3 linked regions of the Arabidopsis thaliana genome follow. The protein of the gene in region 1 interacts with the protein of each later gene in a pairwise test. Each region holds a gene or a part of one and is shown in the gene's direction. Other genes may lie near its edges.

Region 1 (6,014 bases):
ATGCTGACTATCACGTCTAGTTGTAGTAGTAGCTACACAAATACTTGAATTTGAATTAATAAGTATATAGATAAATTGTACAAGTATCACCTATTATAAGTTTGCCAACCCTGTTTTGCGCATGATAATACGGCAGTAACAGTGTCCATAATCAATAATAACACAAAATCTTATTAAAAATTCGTATTTTATTTAGAAGAAAAAAACTAATTCATCTATGAAAATTAGAAGGAGACGTAACCGCTAACTAGTGTAACTGGACCTGCCTTCGGTGTTTGGTAAGATTCCGGTACTCTGTACAAAATGGCTGAAGCTAAGGCCCACACTATTTGACCGTACGTCACTGGATTGTTTCTCTAACGACTTTGATTCTTTTACTCGCTTGAGTTTGAATGTAAATGTCTGATTTTTTTTTAACAAAAAAGAATAAAATATATATCTACATAAATCTATAGTTTTCTAGCAATAATATTGTTGTCAATTTGTGAAATGTGATGGGTTGCTTGCATATGCAAAAGTCTCTCGATCGAAGTCTTCCGTTTATTATGAACCACACAAATGGTTTTAAGCAAGAAAAATATCTACGAGTAAGATCAATTTTGTTATGTGTAGAGATTATCATTTGTAACTTTATGTATTAATACAATTGCACGTAAAGCTTGACCTTCTAATAGAAATAAATTTGATAGGAAAAAATCTCTAATACCAATTGCAATTTTTTTGTTGTTGTAATATTGCAGTAAGCTCTCTCATTTAAGCCTTTGAACAAAAAATAAAATAAATATCAGATTTATTGTTGAGTTTCGCGTTGGTATTTCAAGAAAAGAATATGGTCTTTGGCTTTTGACCAAAAAAAAAAAAAGAATATGGTCTTTGGCTCTTTGCGACGCCTATATGCATATATGATATTTGTATGACTATAGACTCATAGTTAATTTATTTTCTATTCCATTTTAACTTATCAGTGTCACTAATCAAAGCTATTATTAAACGGTCTATTTTAAAACAAACCATTTTGTCTATATGCTATTTCATATACGACGATTATAATCGCTTCTTTAGAACTAATAGCCAATAATAATGTATATTTCGACTGTTCACCATACACCGCCACCTAATTCTTCTAAAACATTTCAATTCATTGACTAAATATCGTCATTATTTTGCTTACACATTTTGTATATGTTCCTCCAAATTTGTTCACTAGAGTTTTCAACTAGAACAAAACAACTACTCTGTTGGTGAAAGAATGAATATGCATGTGTGAAGTTTATTGCTCAATATGGATATAGAAGATGAAAAGAAAAAGAGTAAATTGATTTCTTTACCAAAACGTGTCCAGATGTTATGTCAATATGTAATTCTGACATGACCAGAACTTCTGTAACGCATTTAACAATCACTTCCGAAAATAACAAAAACAAAATTCAGGAAAGATGATGAAATTGTAAAAGACAGACTGTAATGGCGTCTATTGAGACAATGACTCAATCTGTCTTAAACCGGAAAGTTGACTCGTAAGCCATATTGATTATCTTTATTAAATTTTCCTTTTTATTCTCTTATTCTCTCGAAGTAGTAACTTTCTTTTGCATCAAATAAAGAAAATATGAAAACGCACCCCTAAAGTTTATCTTATTTTTTTTATTAGTGCCTCTAGTTTTCTAATGTGTAGAGTCAGTGACACACTTTCTTTTTACTTTATATCAAGATTTGATGATATCATATGATTTTAGACTTCTAATTAAGGTTTTTGTAAAAATTGTCACACTACTTTTTTGAATTCTTTCACTTTTTTTAACAAATGTTATTTAGAAAACATAGTCAATATACAGATCCTAAATGTAGATAAAAATTTACAATTTTGACTAGCAAGATCTGATTTGATATGTTTCTTATATATCAATTTTTACCCTTATTTGTTCCATTTTACTTTGATACTTTTTTTTATAGACAAATTTAGATAATTTTATTTGATAAGTCATAGCATTTATTTTTCTTATTTTTATACCAAAATTTATTATAAATACATTTTTCAAACAACACATATACAACACAAACTGTCATTAAAACCCAAATTTTATATATATATATATACCAAGCTGGTAATAATATGATATGATCGTAATTAGCAAACATGAGATCATGCAATAAAAGACTTAAGACAAAAAAATGTGCCACGCTGGTAATGCAAATTTTGTCGTGGTGTGTAGATAAACAAAAGTTTCAGACTTAAATCAAACATACATAAACGTTAAGGGTCTTACTTGCAAATTTGAGTTTTACCGGTAAAAAAAAGAGTAACAGGAAACGTAAAAAGAAGAAGAAGAACGCTCAATGGAGAAAAAACGTGTCCCGAAGTGGCAAATCACGCGACGAGTCTCTTCTTCTTCTTCTTCTTCATGCGTTTTCTCCTTCCTTCTTAAAAGCTCTCTTCTTCCTCCTCCTCTTTTACCAATACATCTATTAACTCTCTCTTCCCTCTTCATCAAGTTTCTCGAGGAGAGTGAAGAATTTGGTTTTAATTATTCTTTGATTACCCTTTTTGTGGTGTGGTTTTCGTTATTTCGAGGAGTGATAATAATACCGTTATGAGTCATCACTTTACATGTGTTTGATCAATTACTCTTAATTCACTTTCTGGGTTTCTTCCTTTGAATCTCTCCTCAAAGAAAAGAAAAGAAAAATGAAGGAGGAACAAACAAGATCTCTGTTTGGAATCTCTTTGTCTGATAAACCAACTTGGCAACAGTTTCTCATTTGCACTTCTGGTTTCTTTTTTGGTTATCTCGTTAACGGTGTTTGCGAGGTTCGTTTCTCTCTTTTTTGCAATTTGATTCGAGAATTTTGATACATAATCAATCAACGTTAATGTTTTTGTTTGTTCTTTGTCATAATTCCACATACCCAGCTCCTGAATCTCGTAAATTTATAATTTTTTTGCATTTTCAATCTCTTGCATGCTAAGTGTTTGATGTTTTGTTTCTGAGAGAAAAAAAAACAGAGGAAGAAGAAAAAATTGCATGACGAACTAAACTCTCTCCAAACTTGTGAGAGATCACAAAAAATCTGTGATCTTTGTAAAGAAAACAGATTTTAGAGAATGTGATTGGATCTACAAGTACTCATATATGATCATTGACTTGATTTATTTTTCTTTGGTTTTGCAGGAATATGTTTATAATCGTCTTCAATTTAGGTAAAAGTCAACTTTTGATTACTCTTTTAAGTTTTAGATTTGAACAAAAGTTAACAATGGGATTTTGCTCTGTCTTTGTAGCTTTGGGTGGTATTTCACGTTTATACAAGGATTTGTCTACTTGTTTCTAATCTACCTTCAAGGCTTTACCACAAAGCATATAGTTAATCCGATGAGAACTTATGTCAAACTCTCTGCTGTTCTCATGGGTTCACATGGTTTAACCAAAGGATCTTTGGCTTATCTCAATTATCCAGCTCAAATCATGTTCAAATCCACCAAGGTAATAGATCCACATTTCCCAATTACAGTCTCAATGAGTTTAAATTGAGTTTAAAGAATGATCGGAATGACCATCTTTCGGATGTTTTAGGTGTTACCGGTGATGATAATGGGAGCGTTTATACCCGGTCTTAGAAGAAAATACCCAGTCCATGAATACATTTCAGCGTTCTTGCTTGTTCTTGGTTTGATCCTATTCACATTAGCCGATGCGCAAATGTCTCCAAATTTCAGTATGATTGGGATTATGATGATAACCGGTGCATTGATCATGGATGCTTTCTTGGGTAATCTGCAAGAAGCTATCTTCACAATGAATCCTGAGACAACTCAGGCAAGGAAACTAAAGAAAACACGGTTCTTTCGGTTTTCCTTTACCGGTCTGTTTTGTTTCGTTTCTGAGATTAACTCTTGTTATGTGTGTTGTGCAGATGGAGATGCTTTTCTGCTCAACAGTTGTTGGATTACCGTTCTTGTTCGTTCCCATGGTTTTAACCGGAGAGGTTTTTCGTGCGTGGACTGCGTGTGCACAAGTAAGTAAACAACCTCTGTTCTCTTTTTTCTGGTTTGACTTTTGGTCAACCTTTAACCAAACCAAGTTAACCTTATGAGATAGTCGTCCATTTTAAGTGAAAGTGACAAAGAGTGGAACCTTTTATTTGGCTTTGAAAGTACTTCTATAGATTTGACTCGGTTTATGATTCAAACCGGAGTTGGACTCAGTTTAGAGAAAAAGTCAAAATTTGTAGGATTCTTGGTACCACGAAATGAGAGAGATCATTGACCGACGACGTGCCTCTGAATCTGCCAAACTTTTTAAAAGCCAAATTGTCTCTTTTAAATTCATTGATTCCATAACTTAAGTACCAACGTGGAATATTTTATAGTCAAACGGTTTAATGATTCATTGGTTGACATATTTAAAACCAATTGTGCTTTGTTTATATTTGCAGCATCCGTATGTGTATGGAGTGCTTGTATTTGAAGCCATGGCCACATTTATCGGTCAAGTCTCCGTTCTCTCGCTTATTGCTCTCTTTGGAGCCGCCACAACTGCCTTGGTAAATATCTAATCTTATCTTTGAATACTCATTTGTATTTTAATTGACTCAATGGTCTAAAATCACATTTCGTTGTGTGTAGATAACAACGGCTAGGAAAGGGGTTACATTGTTGCTGTCGTATTTGATATTCACAAAGCCGTTAACGGAACAGCACGGATCAGGCTTGCTGTTGATAGCAATGGGGATTGTATTGAAGATGGTTCCAATGGATAGTAAAGCTCCGGCCAAGATTCCGGCGAGACCAGCGGTTAGGATCGCAGGAGGCGATGGTGATAGAGAAGAGGACGAAGAAAGGAAGTCATTGGTTTGAGAATGTGCCATGTATTTATATATATTTTATCTCACAAATTCAAAGGGTTTATAGAATAATGTTGGATGAAGGAGACACAAAATAGAGTTAAAGTTGTGTCAGAGACTTGTTATTAGATTCTAAAGTGAAATTGCAAAAGATTGAGCTGTTAAATTGTTAACTATGATATGAATTATTTTTGTCATCACTCTCAGAAGAAAGCATTATTCGTCTCAAAGCCTATTCATAAAGCGGGAAACGCTAATGACTACATTCTAAACGACAGGATCAGTGAAGAACCTGATTCTATCTAAGATCCTCCAGTTTCTTTCTCTGATCTATGAATAACAAACTTATCGACAATCTTTACGGTGTTGACAGGATCCTGCTGCAATGTTGTTGCACACCATTTGCTTGGAAACCTTCTGTGATGACTCATTTTCACAGTCGATCTCGGCTCTGCATCCCAGTCCTTGTCCAGCTTCCATTCCTTTGGCACCTGTACTCATTCATCACATACACTCCTCTGTTTAATTCTATAATCACAAACTTTTTCTTTTGTCATTTCGAGAGTTGTTTTTCTCACCTTGTCTACTCCGAGAGTGAAGACTTCAAGGTCTCCATCAGGTTTGATGTTGGAAACGGGTGAATGATTTGTTAATTGGCGATCCGAAGTGAAGAAAATGCTTCATCAAAGTGTATGTGAAGCCAGTTGATGGATATATATAAGTAACTTCCAAAAACCAAAGATACAACAGGGGTTGAGAAGAACCCAAAAGTAGAGGAACACAGAAGCATAATAGATGGCTTGCTCCGCTTCGAGAAAGTGACTCCCATTCCTTTCTCGACAGATGTTAGTCCGTGTAACCGCCATCACCTATGTCAAATACTTTACTTTCGGCTGAAAAATAGTTTTCTATTTCAGCTAAAACGAAGGCTAAGTTGACGATTTTACCTCGGGAATATCAAATGCTGACATAAGATACTTGATGCAGGCAGGATATAATCCGAACGTCCACTGCTCAATACGGTCTCGGAGGCCAGTAGGGTCCGGAAAATGTTCATTTTCTACTGATTTGTACCACTGATACAATGTATGATACCCTGTGTAGCAAAAAGTTTGAAAATCTCAAAATCCATTAAGGTTTGATCACAGATACAAAAAAATATCAATTAAAGT
Region 2 (6,198 bases), on another chromosome or scaffold:
GTTCATTTGCAAATTTTCCAGTATCTTGTATGTTATCTTCATGGTGAGTTTTTTGGTCGCATATTCTTGGTGATTCTTCTTCTACGTTTTCACTTTCTTCTTCAGAGACCTTATTAATATGTTAATTGCATGAATTTATGTAACATTCAAGAAAAAGAGATCGAATACAAGAAACCGGAAATTTAATTTCTAATTTGAATTCTATGCATGTTTGTTTCTTTGCCAATTTAGTACGAATATATTTATGGTCCGGAGTTCTAACCAAAGATAGTTGCTCTGTATATAGAAGTTATACATCTCGCTTGTTTAAACTAAATAACTATTTAGTTTGTCTTGGTAGTCCAGTGACTTTCTGCAAACATTGGGATTTATAATATAGTCAAAACGTTGGGATATGTAGTATTCATTTTCGTTGTAAAAATCATTATATTTTGCAAAGGTTGCAACGTAAAACGTTGTATTGAATTTAGGAGAAAGTAGCCATTTACAATGAATTTTAGTGACAAACTGTTGTATACAGCCTGTGCCACTAAGTATGTCTATATCTAAATTTGGAATGGATGATAACCAGTATTGGTCAATAATGGATAATTTGGTATTTAGAATTACTAATTTGGTATTTTAGTGACAAACTGTTGTATGGAATTTAGGAGAACGCGTTCCCAAGCTATATATTATATGTATTTCATTCTTTCATATGTTATATTATGAATTGTTATAAAAAAGACCAATGAGCAACGGTTTAAGGTTTAATCAGTAATCGATCCGACCAATCATATACAAGTTCCTAACACATCTTCTAACTACTGAGTAAAATAGTAATGCTATTACAAAGGTTTTTTCTTTTCAAAATACAGCCTAATGCTACTACAAAATTCTAATGTTATAAAATAATCATAGGAGAAGTAAACCCCGGTATTTAATTAATACCTTACAAACTTACATTATTGATAAAGTTGAATGAAGAGTTATATGGTCCATTTAGTATTATTTACTTAATATGATACTAGTGTTAGACGTGTTACTGTATTTCAACGTGCATAATCAGGTTGTTCAAAAAGAGAGAGGATAGGTCTTCTTCTTCTGTAATTTGCTGGGACCGCAAGTCATGTGAGGCTGCTCTGCTGATGCTGCACGGCGTCGCAACTCTCTCAATAAATTCTTTTAACTAACGCTCCAATTTTCGATGTAAATTGGCTGACTTCAATTCTATGCCTTACTCTTGTACTCTATGTTTCTTTATCTATTAAAATCCAACTCTGCTTTTGAACCCAAAAAACAAAACAAAAACCAACTCTGCTGAATCATGAAACACGTCCTTGATCTTTATTTTTATTTTTTCCCAATATATGCTCTTAAGAACTAGTTATTGCTTTTGAACCCAAAAAAAGAATTCTGAGTTTTAGGATATCAAATGATCTTACAACTTTCTATATCAAGATTCTTGAACACTAGATATGCGGATTTCAAATATACTCCCAAAAATCAAAATATGCGGACCTATAATCCAAATTTGGATCCATTCAAAAAACAACTAAACAAAATTTTAAGTGTATAAAAAAAATGCAAATCCAAGTCACAAGATAACTGGAGAAAGAGATATTTCTTTTGAGTTGTTGCTAAATTGAGAAAGTGAGTGATAATACACGAATCAAACTCATGACTTACATATGAGAGTCACGGCACAACAAAGAAAAAAGATGAAGCTATCTTAAAGATACAAAGTGTAACATTGGCAGAAAAAAAAACAAAAAACAAAGTAACAAACAAACAAGCTATTTAAAAGCCCAATAAAAAGCCCATTAAAGGCCCATCCATAAGGTACAGCTAGTTTAGACATGTGACCGTTTAATCAGTTAGTGAGTAGAGATAGATAAAAAGAGTGAACATCAACATGTGGCTCTCTTTCTTCCTCCTCCGCCGAGATTTTTCTCCGTCTCTCGTTCTCCGCAATGGCGGCGGTCGCTACCTCCTTCTGTTTCTCTCCCCATCGATCGCCGTCACGTTTTGGAAACCCTAATTCATCCATTCGAAGAACAATCGTCTGTAAATCATCTCCTCGCGATGAATCTCCAGCCGTCTCCACTTCTTCTCAGCGACCGGAAAAGCAGCAGAATCCTCTGACTTCACAGAATAAACCGGATCATGATCACAAACCGGATCCTGGGTTCGTACCTTAGCCTAATAATGCTTCTTCTGTATTCAACTTTGAATGGTTTCTAATGTATTTGATTTTTTTGGGTTTAGGATTGGTAAAATTGGAATGGAGATAATGTCAATTGCATTACCTGCTGCATTAGCTTTAGCTGCTGATCCTATAACATCTCTTGTCGACACTGCCTTCGTTGGCCATATTGGTAAATACTTACTTTTTGCTTGGTTTCAACAATTTCACATTTTTCGAAAGTTCACATTTTTAACATTCATATGTGTAATGTGACAGGTTCTGCGGAATTAGCTGCAGTAGGAGTGTCAGTTTCTGTATTCAATTTGGTGTCGAAGCTCTTCAATGTTCCTTTACTAAATGTCACAACATCGTTTGTTGCGGAGGAGCAAGCAATTGCTGCTAAGGATGATAATGATTCTATAGAAACAAGTATTTTACTTTCCTTAAAGCTTATAATGAAAAATGTTTTTATTGTTTTCTTCAAAGATTGTTTCTTTACTTTGAATCTGTTGTTTATTTGTTGGTGTTAAAGGCAAGAAAGTGCTGCCTTCGGTTTCAACTTCATTAGTTCTTGCTGCTGGAGTTGGTATTGCAGAGGCCATTGCGCTATCTCTCGGGTCTGATTTCTTGATGGATGTCATGGCTATACCTTTTGTAATGTCTCTAAGCTCACGTTGAACTTCTTTTATATAAGCTGTTATCTTTGAAGTTTTGTATAGCTGATCGCTCTTCTTTCTCGGTTTGTAATTTTTTTAGGATTCACCAATGCGGATACCAGCAGAGCAGTTCCTCAGACTTCGAGCGTATGGTGCACCACCAATTGTTGTTGCATTGGCTGCGCAAGGAGCTTTTCGAGGTTTCAAGGACACAACAACGCCTCTATATGCCGTTGGCAAGTATTGCACAATCATCTATTTTTTTTGTATTTATGCATGAATGGATCTGAGGAAATAAATAGTATATGCGCATTAGCTCACTAGACCGTATATATGCATTAGCAGTTTCACATACATGTTTCTAATATGGTGAACTCTATATCAACAGTTGCGGGGAATGTACTTAATGCGGTATTGGATCCAATCCTGATATTTGTCCTTGGTTTTGGTATCTCTGGTGCTGCGGCTGCTACTGTGATTTCTGAGTATGTCCAAAAATGTGGTAATAGACTCGTTTTCTAGTAAAGCATATCTATCTTAATTTGTGGCTTCTTATGTTTCTCACTTGTCAACGTTTCTTCAGATACTTGATTGCATTTATTCTTCTATGGAAGTTGAATGAGAATGTAGTTTTGCTCTCTCCTCAAATCAAAGTGGGAAGAGCCAACCAGTACCTCAAATCAGGTAATTCCTTAAAATTTTCAAGTTTTCTTTAAACGATTCAGAAAGGCTACTATATGAAATGTATTGATTCATGCTTAGGTGGGCTTCTCATTGGTAGAACGGTGGCTTTGCTTGTGCCATTCACATTAGCTACTTCGTTAGCAGCTCAAAATGGACCCACTCAAATGGCTGGCCATCAAATCGTCTTGGAAATCTGGTTGGCTGTCTCTTTACTCACCGATGCTTTAGCCATTGCTGCACAGGTCTAATATCTTTTGCAAATCATCTTCGAAACAGACAATCTCTACCAAGATTTACTGTGATATAAGAATCCCATTAGCATGATCCAAGATTACCTTTTGGGGAGAAGATTTTCACTTATATTTTCTACCTCTATTTTCAGAGTCTTCTTGCCACCACTTACTCTCAAGGAGAATACAAACAAGCCCGGGAAGTTCTCTTCGGAGTCCTTCAAGTTCGTATTCATAATTCATTACATCCCTAGTTTATATCCTACCCTATATATTCGATGTTATAATGTACAATTGCAATCTTTTAAGTAGGTAGGTTTAGCAACTGGAACTGGTTTGGCTGCTGTATTGTTCATCACTTTCGAACCATTTTCAAGCTTATTCACAACGGATTCAGAAGTTTTAAAGATTGCTTTGTCAGGGACCTTAGTAAGATCTTATCTTTTAATCCAGAAAGAGTTTGAAAAGGGTAGTCTCAGACAATATCTAAATAATGTTGGCTGGATGCAGTTTGTGGCTGGATCTCAACCGGTGAATGCTCTAGCGTTTGTTTTGGATGGGCTCTATTATGGTGTCTCTGACTTCGGATTTGCCGCTTATTCTATGGTCCCTTTTCCTTCTTCATCAATTGGTCGTTTGATTCTCCCTTTTCTTCACCTGGAAAAAGTTGATTATTTCTCATTTTGGAACAGGTGATTGTCGGATTCATATCTTCCTTGTTCATGCTTGTGGCTGCACCAACGTTTGGCCTTGCCGGGATCTGGACTGGTTTGTTCCTCTTCATGGCGTTGCGGTTGGTTGCTGGAGCCTGGAGGTAAACAATTAATTAAAAAGACCGTTCTAGTTTCAAGTTTTCAACCCATCCGAAATTTTTCTTAAAAGGATACTGCGTCATGTTTCAGATTGGGGACAAGAACCGGTCCATGGAAAATGCTATGGTCTGCTCCAGAGAAGCCAGAATGAAGCGGATCACTGTTTTTTGCGGTATGATGCGTGACTCTTAAGTTAAGATAAATGAAAATGGAGTAAACTAACAATGTAAAAAACATAGTCTCATAGTCATAGTATATTGATGCAGCATAAATCCTAAGCTAGAATCTGAAATACTCAAAATATGAATCGAATCCACCTCCCTGGTGATAACTGGAGCTTTGAGGTTCATTATACAACAATCCGTTATCCAATTTGAATCGATCATAGCTGTAACCTTCCTCTGATTTCACTGCTGGGTTCACTATTTCATTATCAGTCATAGGATTCTGAGTCTTGTCATGGCCAAGCTCAATAGCGTCTTCATTGTAGACTACATAGTCTTTTCCACCTTCCGTTTCAATCACGCCATTACCGGCTTTGTTAGTTTCCAACCAATAGCCTCCCGAACTTTCCGCCTCCTCGTCCTTCTTCCTTCCCCCACCCAAATCTTCCGGGAAATTTAACCTGGCATAGGGTCCGTACATGACACTAGCAGCTCTGTCGTAAGCCAAAGCAGCTTCAGCTGCAGTAGCAAACGTGCCAAGCCAAAGCCGTTTACTACGACTAGAGTTTGCACCACGGTGACTCACTGGTTCACGTATCTCAGCAACCCATTTCCCCCAAACCCTTTGTCGAACACCTCTAAACCGACAAACAGGATTCTCTGGTCCACCTTTTCCTCTCATACAACCTTTCTTCGAACCTTTGGCTTGAACCCTACGAGCTCTCGCCAATCCTTCTTCCTCCCATCTCTGTAACGTCGCTTCCACTGGCTCAACCACTCTTCTTCGTCTTCTCGAGGATACAACAGAAGCAGAGGAGCTCTGTTTCGATCCGTTATCTTCCTTTTCCATTGGAAAAACACAACACGTACAAACTGTAGAAAATATTACGGAGCGCAGTACAATCACTATTAAATTTCGAACATAAAACCAAACAATAAACTATAAATTTTTGTCTGCATAGATTGTCCTAGAATTCACCAGAGCCTTCAGAAATTAAGGTGGGAACACATGTCTAGATACCGTCTAAGAGAACACGCGTGGTGCTTACGACAATTAAATGTACGGCTACAAGACACGTGGTGACTTCCCAGTTTAGGCAGATTCTGGTATGCTAGGATTTGTTTTTCAATATGTTTTGGTCATTATAGATTTCTTTGCGGCTAAGACTTTGAAAATTATCGTAAATATCGTGAAGAAATAGATATTGTAAGTCTTGGGCACCAATCCACCTTAAATTGAAATTTTACTTTTTCAGTGTTTTTTTGGCTTACGGTGCAAGCCAGCAATTTGACATCTTCCACTTATTACTTTTCTGACAAACGTGTTTCTTTTTTTCTTTGTTTCAAACTATACTATAAAAATAAATTATTATTCCATGGTTACTTTTTTGAAGACGTTTAGTCCGAGACTTTTGGTACTCTCATTGGACTCTTCCCAGCTCAAATTGCGCGCCAACTAACAAACTGTAGCTTTTGCCTTCGCAA
Region 3 (4,891 bases), on another chromosome or scaffold:
AAAGCATGTAAAAGCAATGATAGTTTCTTTCAGGATCAGAAACTTGACAAACTCGTGACCTCTCCAGCAAATATGTTCTAATAGCAGCTCCTGAGATTCTTCCCATATGATTGAACTGAATCTCCACAAATTTACCAAAACGACTGCAATATGAGATTTGCCTACATATGTCAAGGTTGACTTCAAGAACATACATAAACTTGAAAAATCAAGAAATGTGAATGACATTCCACCTTGAATTATTGTTTCTGACGGTTTTTGCATTACCAAAAGCTTCTAAAACTGGATTTGACTGCATAACAGGATCATAATACGAGAAGAATAAGAAGATATCTACAGAGAGAAACTCAGTGAGTCTGTCTCTAGTAAGAATGTAGATGCATTGTAAACAGACTATCTACCTCCAAAACTTGCTGTTCGACAGATCGTCCTTCACTCTCAGCTTTTCCACCCATGTATGCAAGATATTGCATGAGCATTTTTGTGCTCTCTGTCTTCCCAGCACCGCTTTCTCCACTCACCAAGATCGCCTGGCTTACTCCCTCGTTGATCATTTTTCTAAATTTATATTCTTGATGATGGTGAGGCCCAAAAAAAAATGATAGTGCAACATTAGTTAAAGTTTCATCTATGCAACAAAAGATTACCTGTATGCAGAATCAGCAACAGCAAAAGGATGTGGGCTTAACTCGCCAAAATCTGTGCCCTTATATTGCTCCATTATCTCATTTCCATATAGGTGGGGTAATCTTTTAAAGGGATTCACAGCTATCAGTATATTCCCTGTGTATGTCTGTAACCATCAAGAAGAAATTAGCTTGCTACAAACACTTCAGAGAAATATTAATGATATTGCTATAACTGTGCAGTAATTTTCAGCAAAACAATGGTAGAGATAATCATAGAATTCATAAGTGGGTGTAATGAAAGAAGGAAAACTGACAAGAGTTACATGCTGAAGCGTACATATATTTCATTTGCATTGTATCTGGCTTTTAGATTGAGAAGAACCCCTGGTTCATGCAAATACGCAAGCTTTGTCATGTCGTCCACACCAAGCTCAGGAAACTCAGGATCCTTGGGGTGGACAGCATTAACCTTTGCCACAACCTACAAACAAATGCATCACAAATATGAGCAATGTATTCTTAAGGTACCTTAAGAACTAACACATTGTCTCGTTGCTTTGGAGAAAAGGGACTAACCGTCTTGGTTTGGCAATTAACTTTGATCTCTTGACCGTTAGCTTCCACAACTTCTCCATCTAGCCAGGCTTCATCTGGATCTTCCACCCAGACCTGTGACCCCACAGTTACCTTCACTGAAGCCTGATTAAAGTAGAATATATTAGAAACAAATAAAAAAAATATTGTCAAGCTTCATTAGCTGGTTCTTTTGTTCTCTTTTAGACACATCTTATAATGAAATCTAAAATGTAAGGGGCAACATAAAAATCAGCTCAAATAGCAATTATGGTTACAGAAGATAAAAAAAAAAAGGTAAAAATGAAGAACACGGAGAAATCGCAATGCAGATAAGAGAAGAGAGACTCGTACCATTATCACGGCCAAATCTGGTCTGATTTTCCTAGAAATGATCCCGAATAAAGATTTCCAACGGGAGAAACATTAGAAAAAATCCCTGAGAACCCAATCAGCTGGTGTTTCCACACCATGGATCCAAACACCATAAATCAAACACAAAACGCTTCTCTCTCTCTACTAGCTTCAAAATCTCTGATCGACGTTATAAATGCGGAAGATTAAGACTACATTCACGTTTTACGGACGATATTTCAAATTTCTCCGACGATTACAGAGACCTTAAACCCTTCGGCTTTTGCCTTCCAATATTTCCCCAGGAAAGCTGGAGATTCTCGCAGAACGTAAGAAATTTTCTCGCGTTTTCCCTCGGAATATTCTCTCCTGGTTTTTTTTTGTTTTTGCCTTGTTTGATGCTTCGTCTCTCTCTCCCTCGTTTCTGGAAAAAGGAAGAGAAAAGAGAATCCACGTAGGCGTGTCAGGTCAGACATTTGATGATCTCGAAATTACCCCTGCAATTATACCGGATTTCAGTTCTAACATTTCTCCTGGACCAAGCCGGTTTATAGTATTCGATTCTAATGGAGGAGATGATGACAACGTGGCGCAAGTTGAGTGTGTCTATACATGGAGCAGAGCATTTTCTTCACTGTTCTCGCTTCGCCAGACGTTAATGGCGGATAGAGGAGCTCTTTCGTTACCGCGAGCTTCTACTTATCTTAGTTTCTCAAACCTCCATGTCTGGCGATTCCACAACCCTAGATCTTATCCTCCCTCTCGTTCTCAACTCCTCTGTTTCTCTTCCTCATGCTCTAGAGTAACTTCGGCGAAGATAATTCAGCTGAACCGCCGGAGATTCAGCTATAAAATATGCGCCGCCGCTGATGACGGTAGGGGATACCGTTTGACGGAAAGGGGAAAAAGGGGAAGGAAGCGGCGGGAGCTATGGGAAGAACTTTTTGAAGATAATGTTGAAGACGATGATGATGAAGATGATGGTGGTGGTGGAATTGGTAGTGCTAATTTTGACCTGTGGAAGATCTTAGAGGAAATTGTAGATAATGTTTGGATTTTAAAGGTAATTAGTTTCAATCATGCATCTTTTAAGCCTTAATTATGAAATTAGCCGGGAATCTACTACTGCTAATTGAAAATGCTGATTGATTAAAGTATCAAAATTGTTCTTTGGTAATGGTTATGGTGATCATGTAAGAAACAGTTAATATCGTTGTGTAGTGAATCTGAACTAGTTTTGATTTCTAACTAGATAGTGTCTTTCTGCTCAAAGATAAGAGAAACGGCTTTGTTGATATATAGCTGCATTTTATTTGCATACACCAGATTTTGCTCTCTTATTGTTGGTGTGGGATCTTTATTGTGTTTGGTTTATGTTCACTTTGTAGGCATTCAAATCGTATGGATATCTCCTCCCATTCATCATCTTATCGCTTTTCTTCAGCACCGGACCCAAAGCTTTCCTCGTGTCACTAGCCGTAGCAATCGGGCCATCATTGTTATTTTATGCGTTCCAGAAGTTGATTGGTTGGGATAAACGCAGAGGTACATCAATAGCAAATCAATTCGGGATAGAGGAAGAAGAAGAAGAAGTGGAGAGAAGTAGTAGCAGGATTCGATACAACCCATCAACCGTTAGAAACAATGTCAATGGCCGTGGAGTTAACCGTAGTTCAGCTGGAATGGCTTCTAAGTTTGGTGGGTGGGACGAGTTAGACGGGCTTGGTACCACCATTCCCGAACGGCCAACAAGCGAACCGAAGAAGAAACCGTTACCGAAGAGGAAGAGAGTAAGAAGAGAAAAGGCAGCAGAACCATTATTGTTGAGATTGTTGGTGTCTTTGTTTCCATTCTTAAGCACATACACAAACATGCTCAAGTGAAAAACCACTAAACCAAAACAAACCAAGTTGTTCAAATTAAACCGAACCGAAATTGGTTAAAAATAGAGAATAATTATGAGCCTCAATTTCAGTTTGAGCATCACCATTTCTTTTCCATGACTTTCCTCTTATCAAGAACATTTATTTCTCTCACTCTCAGACCTTCTTGTTCGATTTCCATGGCGAATTTAACGACGAACGCTAAAACTCGCCTGAGAGGTGTTGTATTCGATATGGACGGAACCCTGACTGTTCCGGTCATCGATTTCGCCGCAATGTATAGAGCTGTTCTTGGTGAAGATGCTTACAAGCGAATCAAAGCAGAGAGCCCTAGTGGGATTGATATTCTGCATCATATTGAGTCGTGGAGTCCTGATAAACAGCAGAAGGCGTATGAAATCATTGCTGATTATGAGAAACAAGGAATAGATAAGCTTCAAATCATGCCTGGTACGGATTCATCTGCTTTATTTTTTTATTTTTGATTTTGTGTTTGCGCTGAGGAAGTGTTAAGGATTTGGGTTTTCGTCTGATAATCTATCGTAAAATGGGTTAAAGATTGAGAATTTCGTAGAGTTAAAGATGAGAAAAGATTGCAAATTCAAGGCTGAAAGATAAAATGAACATTTGTTAAAAGTGAAGACTTTATGGTCTAACGGAGGTTTGACTTTTGTCTTAGAGCCCCACATCACGATTTGAGATCATTCCTTTACTGGTCATTGACTTTATGCTGTTGAGTTCTATAAGATGATTTAGCAGTTGAAAATCTAGAAGGAGTACTGTGTTTCTTTGGCGTTTAGAGGTTTAATTCTCTTCTGATATGTGATCATTTATGTGGCAGGTACTGCTGAACTATGTGGCTTCCTTGATTCCAAAAAGATAAAGTCTGTGGTTTTCAGATACTTCTGTCTATGATTTTTTGTTTTCTTGTTCAGATAACTTGACTGTTGTTACATTTTGTATTTTACTTTATAGGAGGGGGCTAATTACACGCAATGTTCAAAAGGCAATCGACATCTTCCATCAACGTTTTGAGGTAAGAATGTTGAATTGAAGACATTTTGACAGCTGCCTGAGATAGGTTTAGCTGGATCATTCTTTTTTTTTTATCAGAGAGAAGAAATCTGAGGCAGTTCCTTACAGTTATTTTTCATTGTATAGGTTATCTTTTCTCCAGCACTAGGCAGAGAGTTTCGTCCATATAAACCAAACCCAGACCCGCTGTTGCATATATGTTCTACATGGGACATCCAACCTAATGAAGTCATGATGGTTGGTGACAGCTTAAAAGATGATGTGAGTGACAGACATGATGACAAGCCTTTGGTCAACCCTTTCTCCATAGCAAATCGATAAGCAATGCAATGAAAGAAGCTTAAACAATGGATCTTCTCATGCCATTGCTTAAAGATTTTCTATGTGGAAAGGATGCCTACCAACTTTTCAGACTAT

The links. The genes of interacting proteins can lie anywhere in the genome.
Region 2: the proteins of UTR2 (region 1) and AT2G38330 interact in a protein complementation assay, tested with the Arabidopsis thaliana proteins (one large-scale study listed by BioGRID).
Region 3: the proteins of UTR2 (region 1) and AT2G33250 interact in a protein complementation assay, tested with the Arabidopsis thaliana proteins (one large-scale study listed by BioGRID).

What each region holds. Positions count from the first base shown.
Region 1 is NC_003075.7:12,059,159-12,065,172, reverse strand, and holds UTR2 (UDP-galactose transporter 2), read left to right. Parts: upstream 1-2,314; 5' UTR 2,315-2,686; coding exon 2,687-2,809; intron 2,810-3,170; coding exon 3,171-3,199; intron 3,200-3,280; coding exon 3,281-3,482; intron 3,483-3,572; coding exon 3,573-3,815; coding exon of another isoform or gene 3,816-3,838; intron 3,839-3,884; coding exon of another isoform or gene 3,885-3,912; coding exon 3,913-4,014; intron 4,015-4,097; coding exon 4,098-4,238; intron 4,239-4,434; coding exon 4,435-4,542; intron 4,543-4,590; coding exon of another isoform or gene 4,591-4,624; coding exon 4,625-4,855; coding exon of another isoform or gene 4,856-4,866; 3' UTR 4,867-4,989; downstream 4,990-6,014. Other genes in the region: AT4G23015 (uncharacterized protein), read right to left, coding at 4,591-4,866; AT4G23000 (Calcineurin-like metallo-phosphoesterase superfamily protein), read right to left, coding at 5,526-5,711, 5,790-5,938.
Region 2 is NC_003071.7:16,062,619-16,068,816, forward strand, and holds AT2G38330 (MATE efflux family protein), read left to right. Parts: upstream 1-1,884; 5' UTR 1,885-1,952; coding exon 1,953-2,167; intron 2,168-2,247; coding exon 2,248-2,357; intron 2,358-2,443; coding exon 2,444-2,596; intron 2,597-2,699; coding exon 2,700-2,821; intron 2,822-2,923; coding exon 2,924-3,059; intron 3,060-3,211; coding exon 3,212-3,308; intron 3,309-3,406; coding exon 3,407-3,507; intron 3,508-3,585; coding exon 3,586-3,749; intron 3,750-3,889; coding exon 3,890-3,961; intron 3,962-4,049; coding exon 4,050-4,166; intron 4,167-4,247; coding exon 4,248-4,343; intron 4,344-4,429; coding exon 4,430-4,551; intron 4,552-4,639; coding exon 4,640-4,700; 3' UTR 4,701-4,819; downstream 4,820-6,198. Other genes in the region: DREB19 (Integrase-type DNA-binding superfamily protein), read right to left, coding at 4,829-5,563; AT2G38350 (uncharacterized protein), read left to right, coding at 5,723-5,773.
Region 3 is NC_003071.7:14,095,240-14,100,130, forward strand, and holds AT2G33250 (uncharacterized protein), read left to right. Parts: upstream 1-2,129; 5' UTR 2,130-2,214; coding exon 2,215-2,619; intron 2,620-2,944; coding exon 2,945-3,439; 3' UTR 3,440-3,512; downstream 3,513-4,891. Other genes in the region: XID (myosin XI D), read right to left, coding at 1-143, 234-292, 402-558, 648-793, 967-1,110, 1,206-1,328, 1,619-1,675; AT2G33255 (Haloacid dehalogenase-like hydrolase (HAD) superfamily protein), read left to right, coding at 3,556-3,889, 4,281-4,323, 4,415-4,475, 4,601-4,735.